Macaca mulatta: one gene and its partners. The protein of the gene in region 3 purifies or fractionates together with the protein of the main gene of each other region. This does not show direct contact. Links are inferred from orthologs where the notes say so. Each region holds a gene or a part of one and is shown on either strand. Other genes may lie near its edges.

Region 1 (3,046 bases), on a different chromosome or scaffold from region 3:
AAGCACACGGCCTTCCCTGTCTGTTTAGCAAAACGCCAGTGGAGACGCTGAGCGGCCCACCCAGCTTCAGTCTTCTGAACTATTCTAGTTCCTTCATCCACCCCCAGGTTTCAGGTGGACTCTGAAAGGTTGGGTGCTACAGGCACAATTCCCACAGTCAGGAGTTGTCCTTTTTCACTCTGGCACACAGAAAAATATGAAAATACTTTCACGGTACAGAGCAAACCGAGGAAGCCACTCAACAGTGTCAGCCCTGAGGTTCTGCTCTCACCCAGGCGTACAGATCAGCATTTCCTGTTCCCTCTCCAGGGCACCCAGGCTGGGTGAAAGTACCAGAATGCCAGGAAGTAACTTTCAAAGTCAATCAAGAATTTCTGCTGTAGTCACAGTTAGTAGCATTTCCTTGCAACAACTGTCTGGGAGATCTGATGTTTCCCCCCTCCTTGGTACCCCTTTAAATCTGTTCGGTTAATTTGAAAACTGAATATAAACTCAATTAATTTTTAAAAAATCGATAATTTAATGGAGTGAAGACTGCATGTGATTCTTAGAGCCTATAGTGACTGATACAGTATTTGATAGCCATGTTAACAGACTCTGTAACGTGGCAATGAGCTGCAGTTGTGATTCAAAAAGTCTCTGAACAGGGCTTAGAATTTTACTGTACTTTGTTCATAACAGGAGCCTACGTGAAGAAGAGAGCACACAATTTTAAAAGTTGATTTTATGTTCTCTGAGTTTTTCTTCTTGCTTCAGCAAAATTCTAGGAAATGCCATAAGCTGAAAGCAAATGACCTTCCTCAGACATCTCTTCTCTCCCTTTCCAAACCCAATTAGGAGTCATTTTTTGATTGGTGCTAGGCCATTAAGAGGTCTTCCTGCTTACGCTTTCCTCGGAGCGGATTGTTGCCTGGGCGCAGTGGCTCATGCCTGATATCCCAGCACTGTGAGAGGCCGAGGCAGGAGGATAACTTGAGTCCAGAAGTTTGAGACCAGCGTGGGCAACAGAGTGAGACCCCTTTGCTGCAGACTTCTTTCCCCATTCCCCAGCTATGAAATACAGGAAACAATATTTCTGCAGACACAGAACCCCCATCAGTGAGGACAGAATTCTGAATGCTCTGAGGCAGCCAGCTTTCTGGGGTTATTCACTAAGTGAGGAGTCCGCTTCAGCTGCCATAGCCCATCCAGGGTTAGTTCTGGCTGACGTAAATCAAGTGGTTCAGAAGGTCGATCCTGGCACACTGGTGGAGCACCTGGGCCAGCTTCCCCACTGTGGCTCCCTTAATGCCTTCCCTCATCACCCACTTTTGGAGCATCTGGTAAACCTTTTCTTTTAGTCCATCTCGCTCATAGTCATGGTCAATTTCATCAATCTGAGACTGTGTGAAGCCCAGTTTCCGGGCACAGTTTTTCCAGTGCTTTCCCAGATTTTCCCTGATTGGGTCCAGGTGTTTATCGGTCAGACTAGTGGTATTATCTGCCAAATGGGAAAGAGAAGAAGGTGTCAAGCTAAAGCCCATTCAAACATTCCAGCTTCCTGAACTGCTAAAAAACCCAAGTGAAATGAAGAGTACCAGAAGACAGGGAAAAGATAACTTCTTAGTTCTACAGCTGTTGCTGCACTGGAGACACTTCACATGCCTGCTAGCCCACAAGCAGTCTTTATGTGAATTACAATAGGGCATTCCTGGCCTGGCGTGGTGGCTCATGCCTATAACCCAACACTTTGGGAGGCCAAGGCAGGAAGATCACTTGAACCCAAGAGTTCTAGACCAGCCCTGGGCAACATAGCAAGACCCTGTCTCTATAAAAAAAAATTTTTTTTTTTAATTAGCTGGGTATGGTGGCACATGCCTGTACTCAGTTACTCCTCAGTTACTCAGGAGGCTGAGACAGGAGGATCACTTGAACCCAGGAGTTCAAGGCTGCAGTGAGCCATGATTGTGCCACAGTACTTCAGCCTGGACCATAGAGCAGGATGTGGTCTCAAAAACAAAACAAATAAAAAAGAATAAGGCATTCCTTCCTCCCAGTAGACACATCCCTGAACCACAGCTGATGGCTCTGTGAACAAAACCCCTATGTGGCTACCAGGTTGGGTGTTCTATTCAATCTTAGCCCGTGACCCTGTTGGTATTAGACGTTCCTGGATGTAAAGGGAAAAACCACCATTTTTGTTCCTTTTAGACATTTTCCACTTACATCTGGCCAGAGTGAAAGCCACGCAACTCCTGACCACCACCCCCGCCCAACAGTTCACTTTCCTCTTACTTAATCAAGGAATTGTCCAGCAGGTGTGAACCCATTCAGTTACAATGCCTTCTTTGTCTTTCAAGACAAAGGTAACTACTCTTCAAGGTCTGTTTCTGGACCCTTCCCCTCCTTTACTCCACCCCGCCGCCAACTGACATTGCCTCTTCTCAAATAGCCATAACCTCTCTCCTTCTACTGGTTCTTTCCCTTAGCCCTTCGTAAAAATAATAAAAGGAAACAAAAATGTAAAACAACCACAAAAAAATTCCTTAATCCCCACACGACCTCATTAAACAGAACATAAGGAAGAAAATATTTCATTTTTCCTTTCAACCTCCCTTCTTTCCTCAGCCCTCCATAATGTGGCTTGTATTGCCACCAGTCGATTGTCAGCAGTCCAAGAACTTCCCAACATACTTTCCAAATTTTGTCAATATTTCTGTAGGGGGTAGATCCCGCGTTTCATTAGATTCTCACAGGTGCCCTTGACCATTCAGAATTTCTGTTCTAGGTATTTTAAAAGCAAACTATGGCCTGTGGGCCACATCTGGCTCCCTGCCAGTGTTTGTAAATAAACTTTTATTGGAACACAGCCGTGCTCATTCACGTGTGTATTGTCTGTGGTTGCTTTTGCACTACAATAAGAGAGTTGAGTAGTTCCAAGAGAGACCTCAAAGACAGCAGGGCCTAACATTTCCTACTGGTTCCTTTACAGAAAAAAAAAAAAAAAAATAGCCAATCCCATGGTTAATTAGAAAGCTGGGTTCTTAATCAAGTTGTTTTGGCCTCA
Region 2 (3,500 bases), on a different chromosome or scaffold from region 3:
GCTCACACTTGTAATCTCAGCACTTTGGGAGGCTAAGGCAGGAGGATCGCTTGAGGCCAGGAGTTTAAGACCAGCCTGGGCAACATAGTGAGACCCTGTCTCCACAAAAATTAAAACGGTGCTGTGGCTAGAGCCTGTAATGCCAGCTATACTCGAGGGCTAAGGCAGGGGTACTGCTTCAGTCCAGGAGTTGGAGGTTGCAGTGAGCTATGATTGTGCCACTTCACTATAGCCTGGGTGACAGAGGAAGACCCTGTCTTATACATACACACATAAATCCAACAAGGAAGACAAGAAATATAACCTCTTTCTCTTCTCCAGAGCCAAGAATGCCTAAATGTTGACAGTCAGGATTTAGTACACTGGGTTTCAAATGCTTGCTCTCATCTTTTCTCTGAGTGCTGCAAAAGATTCTGTCCACCCTGTTGCTCCAACTAATTTTCTAATGGAAGCAGTATTTATCAATCTGGGCCCCTGGCTAACAACATGATAAAGAATTTAGTGCTTCTGAAAGTGATATTTCTCCTTCTGAATCACTTTTTTCCCCAAATGTCAAAAGTGGATATATGGGGAATAAAAAAGATGGGTTCAAGTTGCTGGAGGCACTAGCTCATGAATAGGCTGCAGAACTAAGGGGCTGACCAGCAGGGGTTCATGCAGATTCCCAGAGCACTTTTTTTTTTTTTTTAAGATCGAGTTTCACTCTTGTTGCCCAGGCTGGAGTGCAAGCGTGATCTCGGCTCACTGCAACCTCTGCCTCTCAGGTTCAAGCGATTCTCTTGCTTCAGCCTCCCGAGTAGCTGGGATTACAGGCGCTCACCACCATGCTCAGCTAATTTGTTTTTATTTTCAGTAGAGATAGGGTTTCACCATGTTGGTCAAGCTGGTCTTGAACTCCTGACCTCAGGTGATCCATCCGCTTTGACCTCCCAAAGTGCTGGGATAATAGGCATGAGCCACCGCACCCAGCCCCCAGGGTAATTTTTGAAGGCACAGGTGTACAGGTCCTCAGATTTTGGACAGGTTCCAATTTGAGTAATTATATTCTCTCTCCCTTAGTACCCCCTGCTGTTTCTGGTGGATACAGAATTCTTATTCACTTCCTGCACTAAACTGTTGTGTAGAGTTTCTGTGCAGCTGTTAAACAGCTGCCACATTTCTCTCCATATATAGTCTCTAAAGCATTTTTGGATGAAAGGAATTATATAAACATATTTTATTGTCATGTACTGGTTGCCTTACCACTTAGTTGTAGGTTTTGTGAGGTTGTAACTATTAAATTCAAATCCATATTCCACAGCACATCAATGTTTAATTTCTTCCCCCACCTGCTCTCCAATGCTCTAACAGCAAGGCTCTTACCACAAGGGTCCGTAGACAGAGTGTCCCTGCAGGAGCACGGGGGTCCAAAGCAGCCACAAGATCCCACACTTTAATTTTTCTAAAGATCAAAAAGGGGACAAAAATGCTAGTTAAAAGCAAAAGTAAGAGAACACAGGGAAGAACAGCAGAAATTCATGGCAATAAATATGGATGGTGAGTATAGTTGAAATGTACGTGATTAACCTACAAATGAGAAACAGGCTAGCTTTAACCAAACTGAAGACATTTAATAGTAAAGTTAAACCACACTTTGGGATCAAGAGGAGATCTTGTACATTAGACCTCCTAATGATATTACATAGACCTAGAAATCTACAACTCTGAGGCATCCTCTTCCTGGTCACTTCTAAGAGTGGCCCAGGTCACATGTACTGAGGGACTGGGGTCCATGTAAGAGCAATGGAGTTTATATAAGTAAGCCCTCATCTTTTGATTTAAATAAGTGTAGCTCTTCCAACAACCTTTTATAGGCCATGTTTCCTCAAGGTACATAACAGACAAATTCCAAGACAGGTGGGTACAGATCAAAGCCAGGGCAATAAGAAAATATTGTCTTGACCAAGCTGGAACATGTCACCACACTCTGAACAATTTCCCAAGGTTGTAACAGTGATGGCTGACCCAAAGCAGAAGAAGTGAGCAGCTTCTTGCTGCTTGCATTGGCTAATTAATGTATCAGTATAGTTAGCTCATGAACTAAAATAATGTTGTTAGTTTCTGATATTTAAAAAGTTGCCAATATTTGAACTGTAGCTTTCTACCCTTCACCCCCCAAATCAGGCAGTTTGACAAAAAGAAATGATAAGGAGTCCTTCGTAAGTGAATAACTTTTTTTTTTTTTTTTTTTTTTTTGGAGATGGAGTCTTGCTCTGTCGCCCAGGCTGGAGCATGGTGGTGCAATCTTGGCTCACTGCAACCTCTGCCTCCCTGGTTCAAGCAATTCTCCTGCCTCAGTCTCCTGAGTAGCTGAGATTACAGGCACCTGCAACCACACCTGGCTAATTTTTGTACTTTTAGTAGATACTGGGTTTTGCCATGTTGGCCAGGCTGGTCTTGAACTCCTGACCTCAAGTATCCGCCTGTCTCGGTCTCCCAAAGTGTTGGGATTACATGCACAAGCCACTGTGCCCAGCCTACTTTTGTTTGAATTTACTCTGTGTTTAGGATTGGTGGACGTGGGGTCCATTCACAACATTAATGGATTCCATAACCACTAGAAATTAGAAGAAAATAAAGATGACTAAACTCATAAATGAAATGCTAGGATGACAAGTGATGACAAGAGAACTGTACTTTTAAAAATTACTAAAAGAGATAAAGAATCCAAGAGATCAAAATTGGAGATCTTACCACACTAAGTCCCCAAATACTGCCCTCTAGTGTTTGTGTTTTGTTAACAGGTTACCACTTTACATGGGTAGCCTGTTAACACTGGGTTTTTCTTGTTTTGCTTTACAGGGCAAAACAGTGAAATACATAACCAAATAACCAAAATATGAATGACAACCATGTGCAAACAAGTATAATAAAATGATTGGAAAGAATATTTCAGGACACTAAACCAAGGAGAGGTAAATATACAGATTAAAGAAATATGGTATCACTTTGTGTAAAATCTATAAGCTTTAGAAACAAGGAATGGTAATGTTTAACACCATAAACATAAGGAAGGATTAAGACGTAGATTTTCTCTTTTTACACTCTGTTAGCACACTCACCCATCATAGGCCCCACTGACTATCCTCTTGTTATCAAATCGAATACAACGAACCAATTCCTCATGGCCTTCTAACACTCGTAAACATGCACCACATTCTATGTCCCATAATCTGGAAGAGAAAATTGAGTCAAGTGAATTTTCACGTATTCTTTTCTAAGCCTGGAATGTTATAATACACTTTATATGCCTTCTAAAAATTCACAAAATAAAATCAATCACCACCCACACAGATATGTACTGCTTTCAATGTAATTTATTTCCTTTCTGCTATATAACTCACACAGAAAAATGTAGGTTTAAGTTCAAACATAAAATGTATTTTCAAAGCACAGTGCTTTATATAATTCTGTAAACAGGTTCTTCCAGGTATAAAAACGAACTCAATGCACACAGTTGC
Region 3 (4,072 bases):
GCCTGCCTCTCCTTGCCCACGGATGTATTATAGATTTGAACTTTTTAGAGGGAACAAAGGAAACAACAGACAACAAGACAGTGGGCAACAGTGTCCTCCCCTAACCCCACTGGGTGACAGCAAGGATAGGGGTTCCTTAGGATGCGAGTCCTTCCTGCCTCCCCCTCAATCATCCTGCAACCCACGCCAGGTCAGTCATGTTAAACTTTCCATCTCTTCTTCTCTGGCTCATTGGCTCTTTGCCACCTAAAAGACCAAGTCTAAAAGCCTCTGCCTCACTTCAGAGCCCTCTGTAATCTGGCCACATCCCACCTACTTCCAGGCTGCCCTCTGGGAAGTCTCCACTTGACTACAACATGGCTTTATCTCTACACAGCTGCAGTCAGTAATGGGTGACTGTCAAAGGTTAGAAAAATAAGGAAAAAATCAAAGTGCTGTCAAGTTCCCCCATCTCTCACTGTGGGTCATGCCAAGGGCTGTGTTCATATCCTGCTGTGAGTGCCACTCCCAGGACATGCCTATCTCCAGGGAGAGCCACTCTGGCAGGCCAAGCCCACGGCAAGTTTCCTTTTATTTTATTTATCTGTCTATTTCTTCTGAGACAGGATTATCTTTTTTCATGAGACTGAGTCTTGCTCTGTCGCCTAGGCTGGCATGCAGTGGCGCAATCATAGCTCCCTGTAGCCTCAACCTCCCAGGCTCAAGCCATCCTCCCAGTCCAGCCTCCGAAATAGTGGGGACTACAAGCGCACACTACCACACCTGGCTAATTTTTCGTTTTTTATTTTTTGAGGAGATAGGGCCTTGGTATGTTGCCCAGGCTGGTCTCAAACTCCTGGCCTCAAGCTATCCTCCTGTCTCAGCTTCCCAAAGTGGAAAGCTTTTGTTTTTTTTTTAAGAGGCACAAGGGCCTGGAGGAACAGTAAGAGTAGCACCTGAAGTGTGTCTGGGAATAGCCACTGAAAGGGAATAAACGCCTGGGCTCCCACCCTCACTATTGTGACCCTTCCAAAGTAAAGAGGTGCACTCGCAGAGTAACCGACCTCGTTTTCAATTAAAATAAAAATTTTTTTGGCTGGGCGCAGTGGCTCACACCTGTAATCCCAGCACTTTGGGAGGCTGAGGTGGGTGATCATTTGAGGTCAGGAGTTCGAGACCAGCCTGGCTGGTATGGCGAAACCCTGCCTCTACCAAAAATACAAAAGTTAGCTGGGCATGGGGGCGGGCACCTATAATCCCAGCTACTCGGGAGGCTGAGGCAGGAGAATCGCTTGGACCCAGGAGGCGGAGGCTGCAGTGAGTCGAGATCACGCCACTGCACTCCAGCCTGGGCAATAGAGCGAGACTCTGTCTCAAAAAAAAAATATATTTTGTTCAGAGCTTCCAGTTATCATGTTATATGGCCTTATTCAGTCTTAGAGATGGAGAGGTGGCCTGCGGCTAGGTCTGTGTGGACTGGGACCCAGTCTCTGTTGCTACAGCTGTGTGAGGCCCAACCTCTCTGGGCTGTGATATCCACCCGTGATGTGGGAACCATACCTGTGCACTCATGTGTGAGCTGTTGGAAATCGAATGAGGTAACATGTACTAGCAGGCTATGTGGTACTATCATAGGGAACAACGGGGAGGAGGGCACCCAACTGCCCCTGAGACCAGAAGGGGCTGCCATCCACCCACCAGAAGTGAACACTCTAGGGAACAGGAGGTGGTGTGGTGAGAAGGTGGAGAGCAGAGCCCCACAGATGAGTCCAGGTGGGTCAGGTGGGTTGGGTGGGTCGGATGGGTTGGGGCAGGTCTGCAGCCCTGGCCCAGCTCTCTGATCATGAATCCCACTCCCTCTCTTCTATGCTCCCTGCCCCCATGTGTGGTGCTGTCCCATCTCTGGAATAAGATCCCTCCTAATAAGGAGAGCAGTGGCGCTGGCACCAAAGGCCTAACGTGGCCCTAACACGCCCAGGGAGGAAGCATTTGTTTTGGAACTTGCCCAGTCCTTCCCCACGCCCAAACCTGTGATGAGTTTTCCTTGTCATTGGAATAATCCCAGCAGAGTGTGCAGCACGCCCTTCCCCCTTCCCTGGTGTTCTCGGAAGTGCCTCTGACTTACACACACACCAGCCCCAGGTGGGCAGGGAACAGAGGATCTGAGAGGCAAAGCAGCCCTGCTGGAGTTGCTGGGGGTCCCCAAGCTTCCTGATGATGACAGAAGTGAAAGGTCTTCCCATCCCCCTTCCTGGTGTCCCACCTGCCCAGACAGGCTGTATGCCTGGCAGCCGCGGGAGCCTCACCTTCCGGAGATCTCCTCCTTGGCAATACTCCATGGCCAGCAGGGGCAAGTCATTGGGCGCCAAGTTCTGCATCCCCTCAGGGACATCTCGGGCTGCCACCACATTGGGGTGCGTCAGCCTAGGAAGGAGGAAAACCGATGAGAGCAGAGCCAGACTCCTGCCCAGACCCATCCCTATCACCCCCATCAGGTCTCAGCAACAAAGGCCCAGGATAACCCAGGGCTTCGAAACAGAGGAAGACAGAGCCCAGTACGGGTGGCCAACTGCAATGCCCCGGTCAGTGGCGTGCACCCAGCCCCACCCGCAGCACCAGAACTCAGACCCTGAGGGCACACTCCGTGTAACTTCCATTTTCTGTGCGTGCTACATCCCAAGTCCTCATCGTGCTGCCAAACTGCTCCTTTGAAGACCTTCCAATCTCATGCCCTCCACATGGGGGGGATGTGTCACACATGCAAGCAGGCAAACAAGGTGGTGCCTGCTCTTTTTGTTCTCGTATTTTTTTTCTTTTCTCTGTTTATTTTTCGGCAGGTTGATTCACCCACACACATCACCCCAAGGTGGACACACAGAGAGGGATCTGAGAAGGAACTCATGTGTAACCAGATAGAACCATGATGTAACCAAATGGCACTTCCTCTTTTTAAGAGGCTGGCAGAGGAGCCCCTGCTTGGTGTCCTCCTCGCTGGCTCTTTCGGAGCCCACCTCACTAGCTAGGGGGTCAGCAGCCACCGGGCAGATGGACGGCCCAGTCTCCACACTAGAGGAATAAATGTCAGCGGCAGCATGACAGCAGAGAACGGTCATGTACCACCTTGGAACTGGAAATACAGGAGGAAAGAAGGCTTTTTTTTTGCTGACAAAGGAAAAGTCACTGTGATAACTGTGTTAACTTATTTAATATAATGAAACTGATGAAAAGTCCCCGACAAGGCCCAGTGTGGACTTTAGCTGCTCTTCCTCTGGCATCTTTAGAAGCAGCAGAGTCACCGTGGAGACTGTCGGGCTGGCGCCCTGATGGAGGGGCAGAGATTTAAGACTCTCCTCTTCTTTTTTTTTTTTTTTTTAAATTAGACGGAGTCTCGCTCTGTCGCCCAGGCTGGGGTGCAGTGGCGCGATCCTGGCTCACTGCAAGCTCCGCCTCCCGGGTTCACATCATTCTCCTGCCTCAGCCACCCAAGTAGCTGAGACTACAGGCACCCACTACCAAGCCTGGCTAATTTTTGGTATTTTTAGTAGAGATGGGGTTTCATTGTGTTAGCCAGGATGGTCTCAATCTCCTTACCTCGTGATCCACCTGCCTCAGCCTCCCAAAGTGCTGGGATTACAGGCGTGAGCCACCGTGCCCAGCAAGACTCTCCTTTCTAGACACACGGGGGGCTGCTGCTCCAGCTTTCCCTTGGGGTGCACAAGGCCCTCACCTTCTCATGATCTGGATCTCCAGGCACCACCGCTCTCGATTCCGGGGGCTGAGCTCCTGCCGGCACTGCTTGATGGCAATCTGCTCACCTGTTTCCTACAGAAACAGCACAGTGGGGACCAGCAGAGCGAGCTGCAGGCCAAATCCCACCCTGTCTGCTGCATGGGAGGGATCTCCAGTCCTCAGGTGTCACCTGCAATCACCTCCTGGTGCTCCGAGGTCACATGTACACACCGATCGACAGCCACATAGCACCTGCCCTTCGGGCTGTCTCCTTACCACCCCACCTCTCACCCAACTGCTCCAGCCTCATTTCTTTTTCTTTTTTTTGAGATAGAGCCTTGCTCTGTCGCCCAGGCTGAAGTGT

Evidence for each region. Proteins that work in one complex are often made in the same cells at the same time.
Region 1: the proteins of IKBKB (region 3) and RIPK1 fractionate together in Homo sapiens (co-fractionation; 3 studies listed by BioGRID, with this or other methods). This does not show direct contact. The link is inferred for Macaca mulatta from reciprocal best matches to the Homo sapiens genes IKBKB and RIPK1.
Region 2: the proteins of IKBKB (region 3) and BTRC purify together in Homo sapiens (affinity purification with western blotting; 3 studies listed by BioGRID). This does not show direct contact. The link is inferred for Macaca mulatta from reciprocal best matches to the Homo sapiens genes IKBKB and BTRC.

What each region holds. Positions count from the first base shown.
Region 1 is NC_133409.1:180,151,694-180,154,739, forward strand, and holds the end of RIPK1 (receptor-interacting serine/threonine-protein kinase 1), read right to left. Parts: intron 1,481-3,046; coding exon 1,194-1,480; 3' UTR 501-1,193; downstream 1-500. UniProt on the Homo sapiens protein: Serine-threonine kinase which is a key regulator of TNF-mediated apoptosis, necroptosis and inflammatory pathways.
Region 2 is NC_133414.1:113,608,823-113,612,322, reverse strand, and holds part of BTRC (F-box/WD repeat-containing protein 1A), read right to left. Parts: intron 3,213-3,500; coding exon 3,102-3,212; intron 1,442-3,101; coding exon 1,363-1,441; intron 703-1,362; exon of another isoform or gene 1-702. UniProt on the Homo sapiens protein: Substrate recognition component of a SCF (SKP1-CUL1-F-box protein) E3 ubiquitin-protein ligase complex which mediates the ubiquitination and subsequent proteasomal degradation of target proteins. Recognizes and binds to phosphorylated target proteins.
Region 3 is NC_133413.1:44,370,593-44,374,664, reverse strand, and holds the start of IKBKB (inhibitor of nuclear factor kappa-B kinase subunit beta), read right to left. Parts: upstream 2,801-4,072; 5' UTR 2,637-2,800; coding exon 2,608-2,636; intron 2,404-2,607; coding exon 2,286-2,403; intron 1-2,285.